2 linked regions of the Coturnix japonica genome follow. The protein of the gene in region 1 interacts with the protein of each later gene in a pairwise test. Links are inferred from orthologs where the notes say so. Each region holds a gene or a part of one and is shown in the gene's direction. Other genes may lie near its edges.

What was found.
Region 2: the proteins of LATS2 (region 1) and MAP3K5 come close enough for resonance energy transfer, tested with the Homo sapiens proteins (2 studies listed by BioGRID, with this or other methods). The link is inferred for Coturnix japonica from reciprocal best matches to the Homo sapiens genes LATS2 and MAP3K5.

What each region holds. Positions count from the first base shown.
Region 1 is NC_029516.1:159,805,087-159,814,166, forward strand, and holds the start of LATS2 (serine/threonine-protein kinase LATS2), read left to right. Parts: upstream 1-4,335; 5' UTR 4,336-4,528; intron 4,529-9,080. UniProt on the Homo sapiens protein: Negative regulator of YAP1 in the Hippo signaling pathway that plays a pivotal role in organ size control and tumor suppression by restricting proliferation and promoting apoptosis.
Region 2 is NC_029518.1:49,698,756-49,708,005, forward strand, and holds the start of MAP3K5 (mitogen-activated protein kinase kinase kinase 5), read left to right. Parts: upstream 1-3,640; 5' UTR 3,641-3,701; coding exon 3,702-4,089; intron 4,090-9,250. UniProt on the Homo sapiens protein: Serine/threonine kinase which acts as an essential component of the MAP kinase signal transduction pathway. Plays an important role in the cascades of cellular responses evoked by changes in the environment.

The sequences.
Region 1 (9,080 bases):
GAAGGACTCACTTTAAAGAAAGCTTCTGGAGCTTTGTTTGGGTAGATTACAGTCTGTCGTGTGAGTCATCTCTGTCTCTTCTGTCGGGGTTTAATCTAAAATATCTCAGATTTCCTTTATGTGTGAGCTATTCAGTGGATAAAGCTGTGTGTAATTTTACGCTGATATAATAACTTATGTCTGTGTTCTCATGAAATGAGACATCTTTTCTGCTTTCCAGAGTTTATGTTTCCTGTAAACCAACTAAATCACAGGAAAGAGATTTCTTCTGCGTTCCAAGCTGGCAACAGAAAACAACAAAACACCAGATTCAGGTTGACAGCTGAAAAACACTGAGTGCATGTTTTTCTTAATAAGCTCACATGAAAATATGTGCAGTTCATTATAAAGAAAGCAATATAAATTCCCTAGCCGTCAATAGTTTTTAAACTGTATAGCTCAATCTAACACAAAAAGTAGATAGTAGATGCTTTAAAAAACAATTCGTTTTCCAATGGCTAGAGCTACGAAGGATTGTAATACCAGACCATCAAAGTAGGTACAGTAAATTATCAGAGAAACAAATACAGACTTCCCTTAAATCAATGCCAAACTGTGCCAGTGGGCTTTGAGGCATCACGTTAGGATAGTGATAGCGCACAGAAGGAGCTATTCATCCAGAGATTTCTTAGTCCTTCCAAGATGTGGGAATCATTTCGTTTTCCTAACAGACAGGGAAAATGAGGCGCAGATGCAAAAAGGTTTGCTGACAGTCTCAGAATGTGTGAATGAATGGAGAAAAGCTGAAATGTGCTGCCTTTGGCTCCGCAGGCCTCATTACTATTGGCACCAATAGGAAATGTTCTATTAGAGTTATCACCCTTTTGAGGTGTTGGATGGTCTCTGTATGGTTGCAAAACATTCTTGCATGGATCTATGTAAGGGCAGGGTGCAGTTTACAGTCTCCATGGGCCACACACATGGCTCATTCCTTCCCACATGCCCCATCGCTGCTTTCCCACCCCATGCTCCTCTAGGAACTTCCTGGTCCCCAGCTCTCACCTTTGTACCAGTGACTCTGGGGATTCCTTTGGATTTTCTTCTCCCATACACTGGAGAAGAAAAGTGGCTCATTAGTTCCCTCAGGGTTCCCCACAGTTCCCTCTTTTTTTTTTTCTGCTCTTTACCTCTCTACACAGGCGCTCTGTACAGCTACCCGTATCCTCACCTGTCACAGAGTCCCTTGCATATTGCACCAGGACTTGTGTTCCTCCCACGCCTTTTCTATCTGTCTGGAGAGTGAATCATTTCTGCGTCTGTGACAGGAAGGGCAGAGCCATGCTGGGGCACTGTTTATGCTGGGAGAAGATAACAGCAACTGTGCCTGACCTTTGATGAAAAGAATTACAGGCCAGATTGATGGCTACTGGATGCCCTCACCAGATGCCAGGGCCTCGTATATCCTGCATTTTCCCCCTTCTCGGGATGAGAAGGACACTGCCTATGGATGTGTAAAAACATTTCCTAACAGTTTGGAATTGGTTGGCTGTGGTGTTCAAAAGCCATCTGCACTGCATCTGAAGAAAGGAATGTCACCAAGATGACTGTAAGGACTTGAAAAGTTGGCCGACCGATTCCCAAGCAGAGAGCACAGCTGGCTGCTGTTGGTGAAATTCCACACAGACTCACGACATTCCTGCCGCCCTTTCAGGCTCCGGTTGAAGTCAATGATTGACACCAAGTGTGGGGCGGGGGGCAGAGTACGTAGGAACATGGGTCTTTGTGAAATTCAGTGTTGAACCCTCTATATGAGGGTCATAAAGGCAGTCTGAGCATCCACAATGCCTTTGCCAATGAAGTAAACCTGGGTTTGTGTTTCCTCTGCAAAGCTGAGTCAGTTTCAAAGCAAGCTTTGCCCTGATGCATCCATTTTGTGTTGAAATCAAATTCCTGTTCTTATATTCTCTACTCCTTTGCCGATAAAAACAAGTTTGATCTCATAGATGTAGTCCTGATAAAAATAAATGAGGTTATCCAAACTGCAGTTAGAACTTAGTTTTTCACCTGCCTACCTTACTGAACCTTTGTCTGTCATTAATGTTAATTCTCACTGCCATTAAACAAATTATATTTACTTCACAGGTTGGGCTGCCTAAGCAGCGTTGGACTCTGAATGCCTGTTTCTAACTAGTTTAGCATTGGATTTGGGAAGAATGATTTCCCAGTATCACTCTGCAAACAAAACAGATGTATTAAAACAAGAACATGTCAGTGGTGTTTACCCAAGTCCTTTTTCCTCGCACATTGTTCACTGCACATCACAGTAATTTGGTTCTAGACATTTCCTAGTAAAGGATGTTGCTATCAGCAAATTCTTTGAGTACTCTCACACATATATGTGCACAATTATTTTGTGTGTGTGTTACTGTAGCAGACAACCAGACATATCTGACGATCTTGCTTTATCTTTCACAAGCTTTCTGAGTGAGTTCAAGGTTTTGTTGGCTACCACTACTGCGTAACGATTCGTCCACACACATCACAATTGCTCGATTGATCGTATTTTTAGCAGCATGATTTGGTAATTGGTTCCAAATATAATTACTTAGGAAGACTCACACCTTTGCCCATCTAACACTGATACAAGAGAACAGGGAGGGGAGAAGGCGATTCACCGCATTCGATGTGAGAGAATGGGAGAGAGCTGCACAGAGCTCCTGCCTCCTCTTGCTGTCTCAGGTGGGTGGAAAGAATGTGGAGCCGTGGAGCTGTGCTCTTTCCCACCGTACCTACACAGCACAGCAAACAGCTGCTCAGGCAAGTCAAGAGCTGGATGCTGTAATCATCATATGTCCAGCAGGCTCACTCACTTTAGATGAGCCGTGAATAAACACACTGACCCTTACTCATGGCAGATTATTATCTTGTGGTCTAGCTGAAAGTGGATTTGCTCGTACAGACATATTGTGTAGCTCTTTTTATGTGCATCTTTCCCTGTGGCAATACCTTGTTCGGTAGAACACAGCTGGGATGAAAGACTTGATGGATCCACAGTCATCCCCAAAAACTTAGAGATCAAATCATGTTCTCACGGAGCTGTTGTGTCATGCTACAACCAAATTCCGTTTCCTTCATGTTTTCAAAGATCTCATTTTTTAACAGCCTGTTTTTCTAAAGGCAGAAACAGCCTGAGGAGTTTTCTTATAAGCAGTGGACCAGCTGAATACAGTTACTTTGTGGAAGCAAATGCAATCCATCTCTGCTGTACCTGCTGCTGCTGCTGGGAATTCAAACCAGCAGCTCTGTGCAAATGCATGAAATTCAGAAAGTGCAGCTGGCTGGAACCAGGAGGTGAAATAGTGCAGCTGAGTTTCATTCCCAGGTGGATTGGAATGCTAAAGGAAAACAAACAAGCTCGGTGGAGGAAAATAAGTGAACAGATCTGTTTTACCTAGATTCAGAAATGTGGATGACAACCAAATCTTATGAAATAACGTATCAGCAGAGAGTAAGCAATTTTTATCTTGATGCTGTTCCTTTAAGCCAGCCTGAATTTTGTTGGGAAAAGGTCTCAAGGCATTGAGCAATCTCTGGTTTGGGCAATCATGTTGCTATGCTTCATCGGTTAAGCACAACAGTAATTCAGAAAATGAAGCCATGCTGCATCTGTCATATCATTTAAAATTTACTTCAGTATAGCAGGTATTTGAAGATTGCAAAATGAACCACATTATCCTGCAATATTCCTCCAACATTGGAATCTGCTCTGAACCTGATGAGTTTCTTTAGCTTCCTTAGGAGGAGCCAGAGGTTTCCTCCTTCCCCCACTCCCTGCAATATATTCCGGTCAATAACACTATTAAAATTCCAACAGTAATATACAACTCAGTAATATACATCTACAGACTATAGAGATATCTAAAACAGGCTCGGATCCAGGCACTTCCAACTGTAACGAGCTCTGATATGAACTTTGCATTCAAAAACCCTTTTGCAGCTTGGGCCTGGAGTTTTGTCCCAGGATTAGTAACAGATTTACAGCAAAATTTGTGACTGAATCGAGTTCGGGGCGCTGTGAGGAAACGGCGCTGCCCGGTGTGGGGAGGGCTGAGGCGCCATCGGGCAGCGCCGTTTCCTCACAGCCACCTTCTGCCCCCAAAACCCGGGTTGAACCATTTACGAGACTGTAGAGCCACTTGTGAGGTGGGGAAGCGCCACATGACGGCTATAAACACCCCGAGAGGCGGAGGACACACCGCTCCCACCCCATCTCCTCAGGCAGCCCCATCCCCGTTCCCGCCCCGCCGCTCGAGGCCCCTCCCCCCCCCACTGGTATGTGGCGGGAGGGGGGTGAGAGTGGAATGACGCGGGCGCTGGGTCACGTGAGCAGCGAGGAATGCTAACAATGTAGCGAATGTCCCGACTGCGCCCCGCGCTGCGACCGGGACGGAGCGGGCGGACGGAGATGGAGAGCGGAGCGACCCGCCACGTCGGGGCCGCCGCCACCACAGCGCTGCGTGACGGAGCGCAGGGGGTGTAAGCCGAGGAGGTGAGGCGGGTTTGCGACGTAAGGGCGCGGCGGTGCGGCTCTTCCCATAGCACGGCGGCCCCTCCATTCCCACCCCGGATGCTCCGCTTGTCTGAGGGGAAAGTTAGAGCTCGGGGCCCGGGGGAGGCGGGTGTCCCGCGCGAGGAAGAGGGGCGCGGGGCTGGCTGTCGCGTCCCGTCACCCCGCCCCCTCCCCCCCCTCAGGCCTCGCCGCTCCGTGCGGGGCTCTCCGGTGTGACAGTCCGGAGCGGGGGGAGCCCTCATGCTTGGCCGGGGTTCAACTCCTGGGAGCTTTCCATCCCGGGCCCGACCCTCCCTTAGGGCTGTGTGGAGGGGCCGAGCTCCGGCCCCCGTCCGCCTCAGCTTGTTCGGCCGGGCCCGCGGCTCGGCCTGAAGGTCACGGCCCGGCTCAGCGCCTCAGCCCCGGCCCTGCCCGCCGAGTGCGGGACCCGCGCCTTGCTGCGAATCGCTCTGCGTAGCCCCGGGATTGCGGCGGTGGCTGCTGGCCGCGTCCCGCTGCGCTGTGCCGGGCCGGCCCCTGCGTTTGGCTATTTAAGACCCGCCTGGACGCCGAGCTGTGTGACATGGTGTAGGGAGCCTGCTTTGGCAGGGGGGTTGGACTCGATGATCTCTGGAGGTCCCTTCCAACCCCTACAATTCTGTGATTCTGTGAGTCTCGAGCGCTGAGTTACTCTGGGACGGTTTTGTTTGCAGGGGGGAAGACGAGGGGGAATGATCTTGGGAGAAGTGCTCCTTTTGGTTCTTGCCGCTTTTAGCTTGCGTGCTCTTATAAAGAGGAGTGTGCTTTGTAACACAGTGAAATTCCTGGCCCCTTTTCCCTAGGTTAGACCTCCAGCACAAAGTGGCCAGGTTGCTTCCATGCATTTCGGAGCCAAAAAGCCCAGTGCGATGCCAGCAAATTGTGAGAAGGCAGTTGTGTCCGTTCCTTAAAACTTCAGTCCTTACTTCTGCAGCCATCAGTAGTTATTCACCGTGCCGGCACAGTTAGAGGCTGGGAAGCATCTTGTCAGCTCAGGGTCTGAGACTTTGCTCCTGAAGCACAACTGAGCTTTAGAGCTTTAGTTTCTTGCCGGTGTTCAATCCTACAGAGCCACTGGCATATGCAGCCTGTTGCTGAATGAAGAAATGGGAGTGAGTAGGCAGTGCTGCTGGGATGGCAGACTTCAGCATGTGAATTCAGCGTGGCTGGCTGGTTGGTTGCTGCCAGGCAGCGATTGGTATTTCTCAGATGAAGATTCTCAGTTACTCAAAAAGTTGTTCTGACCTCGTGTTGTTAAAAAGATTTGAAATGTTTTTTCTTCAGAGTAACAGGCAGGCTTCTAATTGACAGAACATACAACGTTTTGGCAGGGGAAAAAGAACAGAACAGCACCTTAGAAGTATCTAATCAGAATGGTTTGGAGCTCAGAAATAATTCTGAGTAGTCATTTCTCATGACAGCAAAAAGGCTGTGTGTATATCTGTGCCATAGGCAAGGTGAGCTTTGAGATTTGGAGTTATCTAAGTCCAAATGTACAGTCACAAATCCTTAGACACACTGTTTCTTTTGAGGCATAACCCTTTTACTTGCATATGGACTTTAAAAAGCAGGCAGCTTGTTTCTTTGTAAATTGCCTGTGATACTTAATGTCCTGATTTCTTGGCTGATCTTGAATATCTGGCTTAAAAAAAAGGACAAAACAAACTTCTGCAAAATATGAAGCGCATCTGCAGTTCTGACTTACAGTTGTTGTTCTTCTCATTTGTATCTCTGAGCAATCAGCGCTGCTTTCTAGTTTAGCTGTGCTGTGAATGCAGGCTGAAGAAGCTGCCAGCTGGCTTGACCTAGCTTTATTAGACTCAAGCTCAGGCTAAAGGTCACAGCAGTTCTTTATTTGAAGCATGTGTGTAAGTGGGAAGGCAGTTCTTTGTGGCAGAAAGGTGGGAAGGGCTGGAGTTCTTCCCGCACATCCCAGGCCTGTGGGTTGGCACGGGGTCTGAAAAGAGGAAGAACAGCCCGGATTCCTAAACCCAGCCATATGGTGCCTGCTGCTGTCAGGAAAGGAAGGGCGGTCATAGATCACTTAATTGCTCTGTATCTTTCAAGCGCTAGCGAGTTATGCTGGAGTCCTAAGAAGGCTGTAATGCTGTTTTGCTTTTTAACCCTTTGCTTTGGCTGTGTGCTATTTGTTGCTAAATTCTAAGTGTGCTCTCCAGCAGTTTGATCCTGGAGCTCTCAGCATAGGTGTGTACCACTTCTGGGCTCAGGGGGCTGGGATGGGCTGCTGTTACCTTGCATGGAAATTTCCTTGGTGTGCTTAGTTAAGAGCATAAGACATAGACAGTACCTAAAGTGATCAGTCTGTGCTCCTGTATTTCAAAGTGCTCTGGAGACTATTTCAAAGGACTCTGGGGTCTGACCAGAGGGGCCCAGGGGAGGGCCACGAAGATGATCAGGGGGCTGGAGCACCTCCCCTATGAGGACAGGCTGAGGGAATTGGGTTTGTTCAGCCTGGAGAAGAGAAGGTTGCGGGGTGACCTCATTGAGCCTTCAATACCTGAAGGGAACCTACACACCAGGAGGGGAGTAAATCTCTCGAAAGGGCTGTAATAGCAGGAACTAGGGGAAATGGTTTTAAGTGAAGGAGGAAGATTTAGGTTGGATGTTAGGGGGAAGTTCTTCACTAGGAGAGTGGTTAGGCCCTGGAACAGGCTGCCCAGGAGGTTGTGGTGCCCCGTCCTTGGAGGTGTTCAAACCAGGTTGGACAGGGCCCTGGGCAACCTATTAGTAAAAGGTGTATGTTTGGTGGCCCTGCCAGGCAGGGGGTTGGAACTACATGATCCTTGAGGAGGTCCCTTCCAACCCGGGTTCATTCTGTGATCTGTGACTTGGCTGTAATTTGCCCTGTACTCAGTTCTTGGTTTAGTGGAGAACTTGACTCTCTTGACAGTAGCCCACGTGCCAGTGAGGAGGTGATGATGGGCTTCAAGGGGTATGTGCGGACTCCTGGCTTTCAGGTAGTTATCTGTTTGCTTGTCTGTGAGGGGTGGTAGTAAGTTGTATAGAAATGGTTGTTTTGTTGGAAACGCTGTAGCTGTCACAGGAACAGTTATTGCAGTGGGTGGAGTGTATGACTAGAATGCTTTCTGGAGAAGCTTTTCATGATGTATTAATAATAGTAATACTGCAGGCTGTGAAGCCCCTTTATAATGAGGGCTGAGAAAGAAGGTCCGCTTTGCTTCTGAGTGACCAACGATAGCAGAACTTCACCAGCTTCTGTTTGTGGCTTCAAAACAACTGGACCCGAAATTCTGAGCTTTCTCAATGGAGCAGCAGGGTAAAGTCACTGTGCAGATGTTGGTACTGGTGGCAGAAACAAACTTGTAGCATCAGTGCTATGTGATGCTTCTTTTTAATCCTTTTTCTGAAATGCATCTGTATGTAATGTTTGGCATGTAACAGTCATGGAATCATAGAATTACCCAGGTTGGAAAAAAAGACCTTGAAGATCATCAAAGTCCAACCCAGCTAACCAGTACCCTAACTCTAACAACCCTACACTAAATCATATCCCTGAGCACCACATCCAAACGGCTCTTAAACACAACCAGGGATGGCGATTCAACCACCTCCCTGGGGAGCCTATTCCAGTACCTAACTACCCTTTCTGTAAAGAAGTTCTTCCTAATATCCAACCTAAACTTGCCCTGGCGCAACTTGAGGCCGTTTCCCCTCGTCCTGTCACTTGTCAATGCCACGAAGACTCAGTAAATAAAGAATTCTGATTACCTCTCAGTGCTGTAAAGGTGTCACAAGTTGCAGAGTAGCTCAGTTCTGCTCCATAGTTGTATAGCTGACCTCTGCTGTGTATCATAAGAGGGCTGTGAGGCTGTATCACAGCTGTGTTTTAATCTTATGTGAGCGGTCTGAACTTCTTCAGCTTTTTGTGCTGTTACTGAGTAGCTCCTTCCCTGTCTTCTTGTCAGGCACAGTTAAAGTATGCATCACCCTTTTGATTCCCTCGCCCTTGCACCCTTTAATAATAGCAATAATACAAAGAAATAAAATAAACCCCCTGGAACTGGGAGAGGGGCAATTCTTACCTTCAACATTGGCAAGAACGTTCATGTGGAATGGCAAAATATCTTGTCACTTTGTTATTAAAATGCTAGAAGTTGCTATGGTTAGAATCATCAATATTTCCATTATAAGGCTTTTTCATAAACTCTTGAAACTGAGCTCAGCTTGTGTAAAACAAACAAAATCTGAAGTGGGGGAAAAACGTTTCATGAGCATGCTCTTCCCTAATTATGAAACAGGATAGGCTTGTCCAGGGTTTGGTTATGCAATGGGGTGGGAAACCTGCCACAATTAGGTAGTGTATGAAATTCTCAAGCTTTGTAGTTTCTGAGGTTTTTATTTTCATTTATTTTCAAAACAAGGCCTTGAAGAAAAATGCTTTTTTTGATGATGTCGAGAAAGCCTTTTGAAATCCTATTCTTGAAAACAGATAAAGTGATAATCATCATTAATGCATTAAGCTGCAACAGCT
Region 2 (9,250 bases), on another chromosome or scaffold:
AAATGCTTCAAATTTCATATCTCTAAATCAGAATGCTTAAAATGAAACTACCTCTTTTGGTCTCGATCTCATTTTGAGTGGCTTAATCAAGTCTTTAGCATCTGCAACACAGTGTTTGTCACCCAACACAAATTGCATTTTCAACTAATAAGAATGAAAAATTCCTGGCTGTTAGAATTCTAATTATGGTTAAAGCAAAAGGACAGTGATGTATTGCTTTGAAAACCTACAAGGAAGAGATGGAATTATTCCAACAGATTTGCAGCTAACGCTGCTTGCTGCAAGTTTTTGTCATTAGAAAAAGCACAACAGGAACAGGGTGATACTGAACTGTAATCGGGTGTAAACCATCTGGTACTAGAGATGTAAATTCGACAGTGCTTGAGAAACAAGTGAACAAGGTATGCTGAAGATTTGTGTGGGTTATTCCAGGTTATTTTTCCTTTTTTATTACTTGTTTTTTCGTTTCTTTTTACGGCTCAACATCACATCCAGCCAAATCTACAGAAGACCTGTCTTGTGTTTGGAATGGACATGGCACTAATAATGACACAGGCCTCACGAGTCATAGCACTAAGTAGAATAGCATGCTGCTTCCGTCTCCTTTCAGTCTGGGACTTCCTTCTGTGCTTGACAAACATGGGCTGTTCTAGAGAACAACAGAGGCACATTGTTCTTGCTTCCTGTAAGGTGATGTAAGAGCAGTGCTGAATGGATTAACACCGATTCTGCATTTTGTGGAAAACTACTTTATTTAGGAAAACATTCATTGTCGTTCTGACCAGAGCAAGAAACAATAACCTACTGTATATTGCAGATTAGCAAATATTAACTTCCCCCTTTAAATTAGTCTTTCGTTTGCTCGTCATCTTCCCACCCCATTTACCCATTCCTTATCAGCAGAAGCAAATGCCAGGCATATCTCACTGAAAATGGGAACCTATCGACGCAAACAGAGCTCCCAAAGGTGACTAATTTCTCCTAACTATTCCAGAATTTATCCTTGTCTTACAGAAGTAATGGAAATAAACAATACAGGAACAGGATCCATGCCAGGAAGTTGATTTTATCCCAACAAGATCCACTATAATGCACAAAGCAGATGGACCTATTGGTAGGACACAAACATTAATAATGCGCAGTGCTACGTTGCTCCATGTTGCAGAGTGGAAAGTGTCGGTCTTTTTTCACAGGTGAAAAGTAATAGAACATGAGGAAACCATCTCAAGTTGCACCAGGGGATGGTTAGAATGGATGTTAGAATGGATGCTGGGGAAAAATTCCTTCACAGAGACAACATTGGAACAGGCTGTTCAGGGAAGTGGCGGAGTCCCTGTCTCTAAGGTCATAGAATAGCTTAACTTAGAAGGGATCTTAAAGATGGTCAAGTTCCACCCTTCCTGCCATGGGTAAGGTTAGCACCATCCTCTGGACCAGGCTGCTCAGGGCCCCATCCAACCTGGTCTTAAATGCCCCCAGGGATGGGGTATACACAGCTTCTCTGGGTAACTTGTTCCAGTGCCTCACCATCCACCAAGTGAAGAATTACTTCCTAACATCTAACCCAAATCTCCCCTTTTAGCGTAGAGCCATCCCCCCTTGCCCTATCACAATCAGACTGTATAAAAATTCAGTCCCCCTCCTGCTTATAAGCTCCCATCAAGTACTGGAGAACTCCAATGAGGTTTCCTGGGAGCCTTCTCTTCTCCGTGCTGAACAAGCCTGGCTCCCTCAGCCAGCACTTCATAGGAGTGGGGCACCAGCCCTCTGGTCATTTTCAAGGCCCTCCTCTGGACCTGCTCTGACAGCTCCACATCTTCCTTGTGCTGAGGGCCCCAAACCTGGACACAGTACTCCAGACAGCAGAGCACTCACAAGCATCTCACTTGTTGCTAGGCCCCAGTGCCAGTCACCGTGTCCTTGAGCAAGAAGCAACAAAAACAACCCCGAGCTAAACAGCAAAAACCCCCTCAGCTGGCAGGGACACGAGGTCATTGCCCACCCCTTTGTTTTATGCAAAAACAGGTTCGTCTGAATCAAAACTCATCTGCTGGTGAAAGGACGCTTTAAAATCTCAGGCAAGTCAGGACCCGTTCCATCCCAGCAGCTGCCGACGAACCGGCACCCCCGGCTCAGAGCGCTGCCCGCAGCACGCCAGGAGACAGAGCTGCTCGGCTTCTCACAGAATCACAGAATTACCTGGGTTGGAAGGGACCTCAAGGATCATGTAGTTCCAACCCCCCTGCCTGGCAGGGCCACCAAACATACACCTTTACTAGATCAGGTTGCCCAGGGCCCTGTCCAACCTGGTCTTGAACACCTCCAAGGACGGGGCATCCACAACCTCCCTGGGCAGCCTGTTCCAGGGCCTAACCACTCTCCTAGTGAAGAACTTCCCCTTAACATCCAACCTAAATCTTCCCTCTTTTAACTTAAAACCATTTCCCCGTGTCCTGCTATTATCAGCCCTTTTGAAGAGTTTACTCCCCTCCTGGGTGTAAGTTCCCTTCAGGTATTGAAAGGCTGCAATGAGGTCACCCCGCAACCTTCTCTTCTCCAGGCTGAACAAACCCAACTCCCTCAGCCTGTCCTCATAGGGGAGGTGCTCCAGCCCCGTGATCATCTTTGTGGCCCTCCTCTGGACCCTTTCCAAAATCTCAATGTCTTTTTTGTACTGAGGGCTCCACACCTGGACACAGTACTCCAGATAGGGCCTCACAAGAGCAGAGTAGAGAGGGACGATCACCTCCCTATCCCTGCTGACCACCCCTCTCCTGATGGAGCCCAGGATCCCATTTGCTTTCCGGGCTGCCAGAGCGCACTGCTGGCTCATGTTGAGTCTTTCATCCATCAGGACCCCCAGGTCCTTCTCTGCCAAGCTGCTCTCAAGGACCACTACTCCCAGCCTGTACAGGTGCCTGGGGTTCTTCCGGCCCAAGTGCAAAACCTTGCACTTTGCTGCGTTGAACCTCATTAGATTCACCCGAGCCCAGCTTTCCAGCCTGTTGAGGCTTTTCCGATACCATTAAACAGAACAACACGGGGTTCCGCCAGTCTTTGCTCCATCCCCGCTGCGGCCCAAGAACCAGACGTGCAGCGCATCCGCCACGGGCAGCAGTCCCCGCCCGCTCTCGGGGGTCCCAGCGGAGCCTTCCTCGCACACCCGACATTCCATTCCATCCCAACGCACAGCCCGGCGGCCGCCGCTGCCTTATTAGTGGCCGGAGGCGGGCCCGGAAGGAGGAGCGCGGTGCGGGGCCGCCCCCGCCTGAGCCGCGAGTAGAGCAGCGCAGCTGTCGCTCGTCTTAATCGGGGGCGCCTGAGAGCAGTCCCACAAGTGGTTCCTGCCCGAGAGGGAGTCGGAGCCGGCGGCCGGAGGCAGAGCGAGGTGCCGGCGGTGCGGAGCGGGCTGCGGGGGGCCGCTCGCCAGGTGGTCCGTACAGGTGCGGGGGAGCAGGGAGCGCCGTGCCATGGTGCGGGCGGCGGGCGCCGCGGGAGGCTGCGTTCGTCTCCTCGCCCCCTGCCGCCGCTGTTAGGCTCCGCGGGGCAGCGCCTCGCCCCAGCCCGATCGCCGTTCCTCTCCGGCAGCTCGGCCACAGCGTGCGGGGATCGCTCGAGGTGGAAGGACGCGGCATGGCAGCCGCCTGACCCCGGCCTCTAGAGCAGAGCCCGGGACGCGCCGCGGTGGCGGCTCCGCAGGGATGAACGACGGCGGCGAGGGGACCATCAGCTTCGCGGTGCCCGGCCCTCCGGGCGGCGGCGAGGAGGGGCTCGGCCGGCGGGCGCAAGGAGCCGACGGCGGCCGCGGCTTCCAGCCCGAGGTGACCCCGCCGTGGGGCGAGGACGCGGCCGTCGCTTGCCCCGCCGCCGGCGCGGGCATCGCCGCGCGGACCAAGGGCGCCGGGCGGCGGACGGCTGTCACCTACGTGATCAACGAGGCGAGCCAGGGGCCGCTGCTGGCGGCGGAGAGCGGCGCCTTGCAGAGCCTGCGGGAGGCGTGCGAGGTGGTGGGAGCCTCGCTGGAAACGCTGCACTTCGGCAAGCTGGACTTCGGCGAGACGGCCGTGCTGGATCGCTTCTACAACGCAGGTGAGACCGCGCCGCCGCGCCCTTCCTGCCGGGGCTTATCGCCTCACCGCTCGCCCCGCCGTCCGCGCAGCTCCGGCCGGGCCGAGGCGCGGCTCCGCGCCGCCCTCCGGCGAGAGAGGCTCGGTCCGAGCGCTGCCCCCTCGCTGTGCCCCGCGGCACCGGGGCCGAGCAGCGCCCTGCGGCTCTCCCGTCGGGAAGCAAAAGTGTGTCAGATCCTCTTTCTGTCCCCCGCTGACCCCGTTTAGGAGAGAAAGCTGTCAGCTAGCGCGCTGTCAGCGTGCGGCTGTTGGCGCTGCCGGCACCGGTGGCTCGTATCCGCGGGTCAGAGATGAGCTTCACCGTGGCAGAGAGCCGGGATGCCCGTTTTTGCCGGAACGGTGAAGCAGGTGTGAGCTGCGAGGCCCCGGGAGCTCGGAGAAGCAGCTAGGATGTGCAGCTCGGCAGCCGTGCTGGTGGCGCAGGGGTCAGTTCCGCTTCCCCTCTGTGCTGGGAAGTTTGCGCTTCGGATATTGGCTGCAATAAAATACTTAGGATGGATGATAAATTAGCGCGAGTGCCCCGTGCTGTGTCCACAGCCCTGCCTGCTTTCACAGCAGTAACGTGGTGACAGCCTCGTCTCAAAGCACTGTGATCTGAGCTGGTGTGTTGTGATCCACCTGAGCCCATGTTTAGAAACAAGACCTCAAAACTTCCTCTTGCTTTTAAATTTTGTAATTAGTAGATAGATATGGGGTAAGTGTAGAATTTATATATATATATATATATAAGCTTACTACCTTAGTAGAGATTTCATAAGACTAAAACTACATTAACGTTGTTTTGCCATTAAAATATATATATATATATATATATATATATAAATACAAGCAAGAATTTGACTTGACCTGTAATTTTAAGCTTATTTTGTGCTTCTGTGTTTATGAAGCACTTTAGCAAATGAGCATTTAAAAAATTCTGGCTGGTGCTGCAGCTTTGTCATCTCCTCTGGAGGAGAGGAGAGCAATAAAGAAGTACCTGTGCTCAGGCCCTGTGCACACAGGACTGCCCAGCGTGGACACGTACAAGCATGCAATTCCCTGGAGCACTGAAAGCTTTGCCCCCTGAGCTGCTGTTCAGGTCCAGGAGGTGGTTGGCTTCAAAGCACAAAGTTGCATTTTACCTTGTAGCTCTTACACAACTGTGTCTGGAGAAGTGAAGCCCTGAAAGGTCAGAGAAGCTGTGTCACAGTTGGAGATAGGAGGCACACAGAGCTTTAGTATAGATCCCATTCTCACCACATTCAAATGAGATACAGGACAGGTGAAACCTGAGAGTCTCACCCGGTTCTTGTTGCATCCATCACTGGAGCCGTTATCGCAGTGAGGCTCACAGAGCTAAATGATCTGTGATATTTCTGTACCTCCTCTGTTAGTCTCTAGCCTGAGCCACACAATAGGCGTGGTCTTGGTAGCGCACAGAGGCTTTTCTTGTGATGGAGCTTGGACTCAAAGTGGGCCCCTTTTCCTTCTGGCAGTAGGCGTCTGGCGTATAGTGCTACATAGCTGCACACTTATGTCATAGATCTGTCTATTTCAATGGCTTTCGAGTAAACTCTCAGAAGGCGAGAACTTTACTTGTTCGTTCAGTACTGTTTGGTTATGGCAATATAATGATACTGTTGCAAAACAGGAAAATTACCTTGCTCTTCTACATTTGTAGCAAAGCTGTAAACGTGAAAAACCAGGATGCATACAGCTCCTGGACTAAGCACAGGATGTAAGAGTTTGCATCTGTTCCCACTGCATTCTGTCCTGTCCGAGCTGTGATCCAAAACTGATGCTGTGCTGGAGCTGGTGTTTAGAAGGATCTATGAGCTTTCATGCTTGTCACAACATATATATATAAGAACTAATTGTTCTCCAGAAACTTAGAGCTAGCAAAAAAATGTAATAATAAAAAAGTTCCTAGGCTAGGAACGGAGCAGCATTACAACATAGAAGCTTTGTAAAGTGAAAAGCACAAATGAAGAGCCAGAGTAGGGAACAAAACTCAGATGGTTGTGAGGAGTGTAATTATTTCAGTTTGGTTTCTTTGGTCGTTTTCATTGCCTTAACTGGGCTGTTTTAAGGGCTATTTTAAGAAACTGTGGTGTATTAAAGTAGTTCAGCATAGCTGAATATCAAATAAGAACTTAGCAGTAAAAATACTTTCAGTTTAGGTAACGGTCGGTTGGTTTTACTCAAGGTACCAAGTTTTACCCGACTCAGTGTAAAGGCCAGTGAAGTCATGCGAGAAAGGAATGATATGATTGGATGGAGATTTGGAAAGTCAGGCTTATTGCTGTGTTTATTGAGGTAGAACAACAGATCTCCCAAGTCTTGTGATGCGTACAAACCAACTGTGCTTTGCGGGAGGAGGATGGAGGTCAAAAGTGTGCTGTAACATCTCTATCCATCATCAGGCCTTCCTTTCTTCTGTCTTGTTTGTACTTTGTGTAATGTAGTCTGAACTCCTGGTGATCTCTGGCAGAGGCTCACTTCATGCCTTTCACTGCTTCAAAGAGAACTTCAGGAAGCATTAAATAAAATGTAATCTGAGATGTAAATACTCCTCATCCCCTCTAAATTTGGATTAGCCAGCTAATAATCTTCTTCTGCTGGCTTCAGTCAACTGATGGTGCTTAAATGCTGAGACATAATTAGCAACGTATATGATCAGTGAGCAGGTCTTGGCTATGTATGTTTGAACCATATGAGCATCAAATATTAAGAATGACTCTATTACAGCATTTTGCCTTATGCGTCTGCAAAGAAATTGTGCTTTAAAAAAAACAAAACACACACAAAAAAACCTACCTCTTGAGAAGCAAATGTTGAATCAACCGTAGTAACTGTTGGAACATTTCATAGATTTCCTCTTTTCAGCGATAGTAAGGGAGAAAGGGAAAACTTAGTCCAATTTCTGTCAGTACTCAGTGTGTCTGGGGTTGGCCAGCTGTCTTGAGAGCTGGTTTCCTTCTTAAAGTGGATACTTCCCTCCTTCCCCCCTCCCCCCCCAGCTGTAAGTTGCATTGAGCTGCTGCAATAGGATTGAAGCTGAATTGCGTGTCTCTCTTAAGTTCAGTTTAATTTCTGAACGATTCAGGAATGCTTATAGAGTTGATCAGAGCTACACCAACGTATAGCAGAGAAACCATCCACTACACTGTGTTCCGAATGTTTATGTATGCTACTGTTTGTTGTTAAGAATGTTTTTTCTCCATTGTAGTGACATGATCTGCGTATCCTGTTGTCTTTTATTACTTACTACTCAGTTCATTTTGAAAACTGAGCCATAAATGAATATGAACTACTTAAAGTTTCTCTGACTTTACGTAAGCAATTTGTTTTTTTTCTACCATGTCTTTTTAGGAAGCTTGATTCATTTCACAGTTATCTCCTTGTGTCTATAATGTTGCATTATACAGAGGCATTTCTTTTTCTTCAGCTTCTTACGCCCAGGTTTTGTGGATCAGTAGACCTTGTTATATGATTTATACTGACAGTGTTATATAGGGATATTGAGATAATTTGCCATAATAGCAAATTATGTAACTAGAACAGAGTTCATCAAATAACAGCAAATGGATTTAGCTGATTATTGTTATTTCTGGAACTCGGTGTCATTGCTTTCAGTATTCATGCAGGCTTGGACTAGGAATTTGTAGGAACTGTAAATGATTGCAAATATTCAGGCACACAGAAATGCAGTAAAGCAGTGGAGGGCTGTTTTTCCTTTAGGTACTCTAGATTCCATTATGTTGTTTTTGAAGTGATTTATGGCTTTACATACGTTTCCTGGGTATTCTGTGATTGTTACACACTGGTGCAAACACTCCTTTTAAAACAAGTATTCTTTTCAAAACTAGCTTTCATGTTTCAAACAGTTGACTTAAATATTTTCTCCAATTAAAAATAAAAACATAAGAAAGAGCCAGCTTGCTACTATGCAAGCTCTTTGAAGGAGCTGGAAAAGTGGTGCTGCTGAGAGACAGAGACTCACTGCAAGTTATATTCTATTTCATGTCACGAAACAATTAGTTTCTTCCGCAACTTACTTGCTGTACTTCCTGACTATTATTTTTTTTGTTTCAGTTCTCTGAGTTTCATCAGACGCTTCAAATGCTGTGTGTTCATCCTCTGATTATTCAGCACTTGCATCCGTCACGTAACTTGCTGTTTGGACACTCCCCTCAGTGCTGCTGAATAACCACAACTCTATCTGCAGCATCTCGTCTGGGAAGTCCCTGTTTGGAATGATGATTCTCATTATGAAAGCTGATGAAATTAGCTTTGCGCATTATTCTTCAGCTTTGAGGGTGACTACTAAGAAAACATAAACATCTGGTACTGCTGTCAGCAGAATTCATGCTGAAAGAAGTTTGCATTTCAGCAGCACTGTGTTGCAAGTGATGAGCTGGAGCAAGAAATGCAGATTAGTAATGCTGAGGGTGTGCAGAATCAGGTTGATGATTATAGGCATACTCTCAGGGTAGATATATCAGTCTTGTGATGGATTACAAGTACAGGATCTTTGTGTCAGAATGCATAGTCTGTGTTGGCACAGTCATGGGGTTTGGAGAAGAGTGGATCGTAAAGCTCCTTTTGACTAAGGGTATTGAGCTCCAGGCTCTGTTAGGAAGAAGCACTGGAATGTTAAATCAGATGTGTTGGCATGGCTTCAGCATAAAACACTATTTCATTCTGAAGCTCCAGAATGTGAACTGTGTTAAAAAGAAGACAGATAAAAGTATATTTTGTCTATTTATAATTAGCACCACTGGAGAGTTTCTGAATCTGTGAATAAAATACAGGGTATAAAACGGTGTATTCACAGCATTTCAATTGCTGGACCAGCTGCAAATTTCATAACTGGACTCCAGCATTGGTACTGTAAACGTGATCTCCATCTGGCTACCTGTCAGTAGGTGACTGGAAGACTAGTAGCCCATCAGCTTCTGCTTGAATTAGATGGAACATGCTAGGTAAAGTGTGTGTGTGGAGTGGATGTGTGTGGGCCTTGAGACCTGTATTCTCTTTCAAGCTCTGTGACTAGCCTGCCATAGCAATCTGTAGCTTTGTTGTGCAGTGGGAGCTTCCTCAGGCCTTTCTGCAGGCTGGGAGGCTTGTGGTACATCTGATAT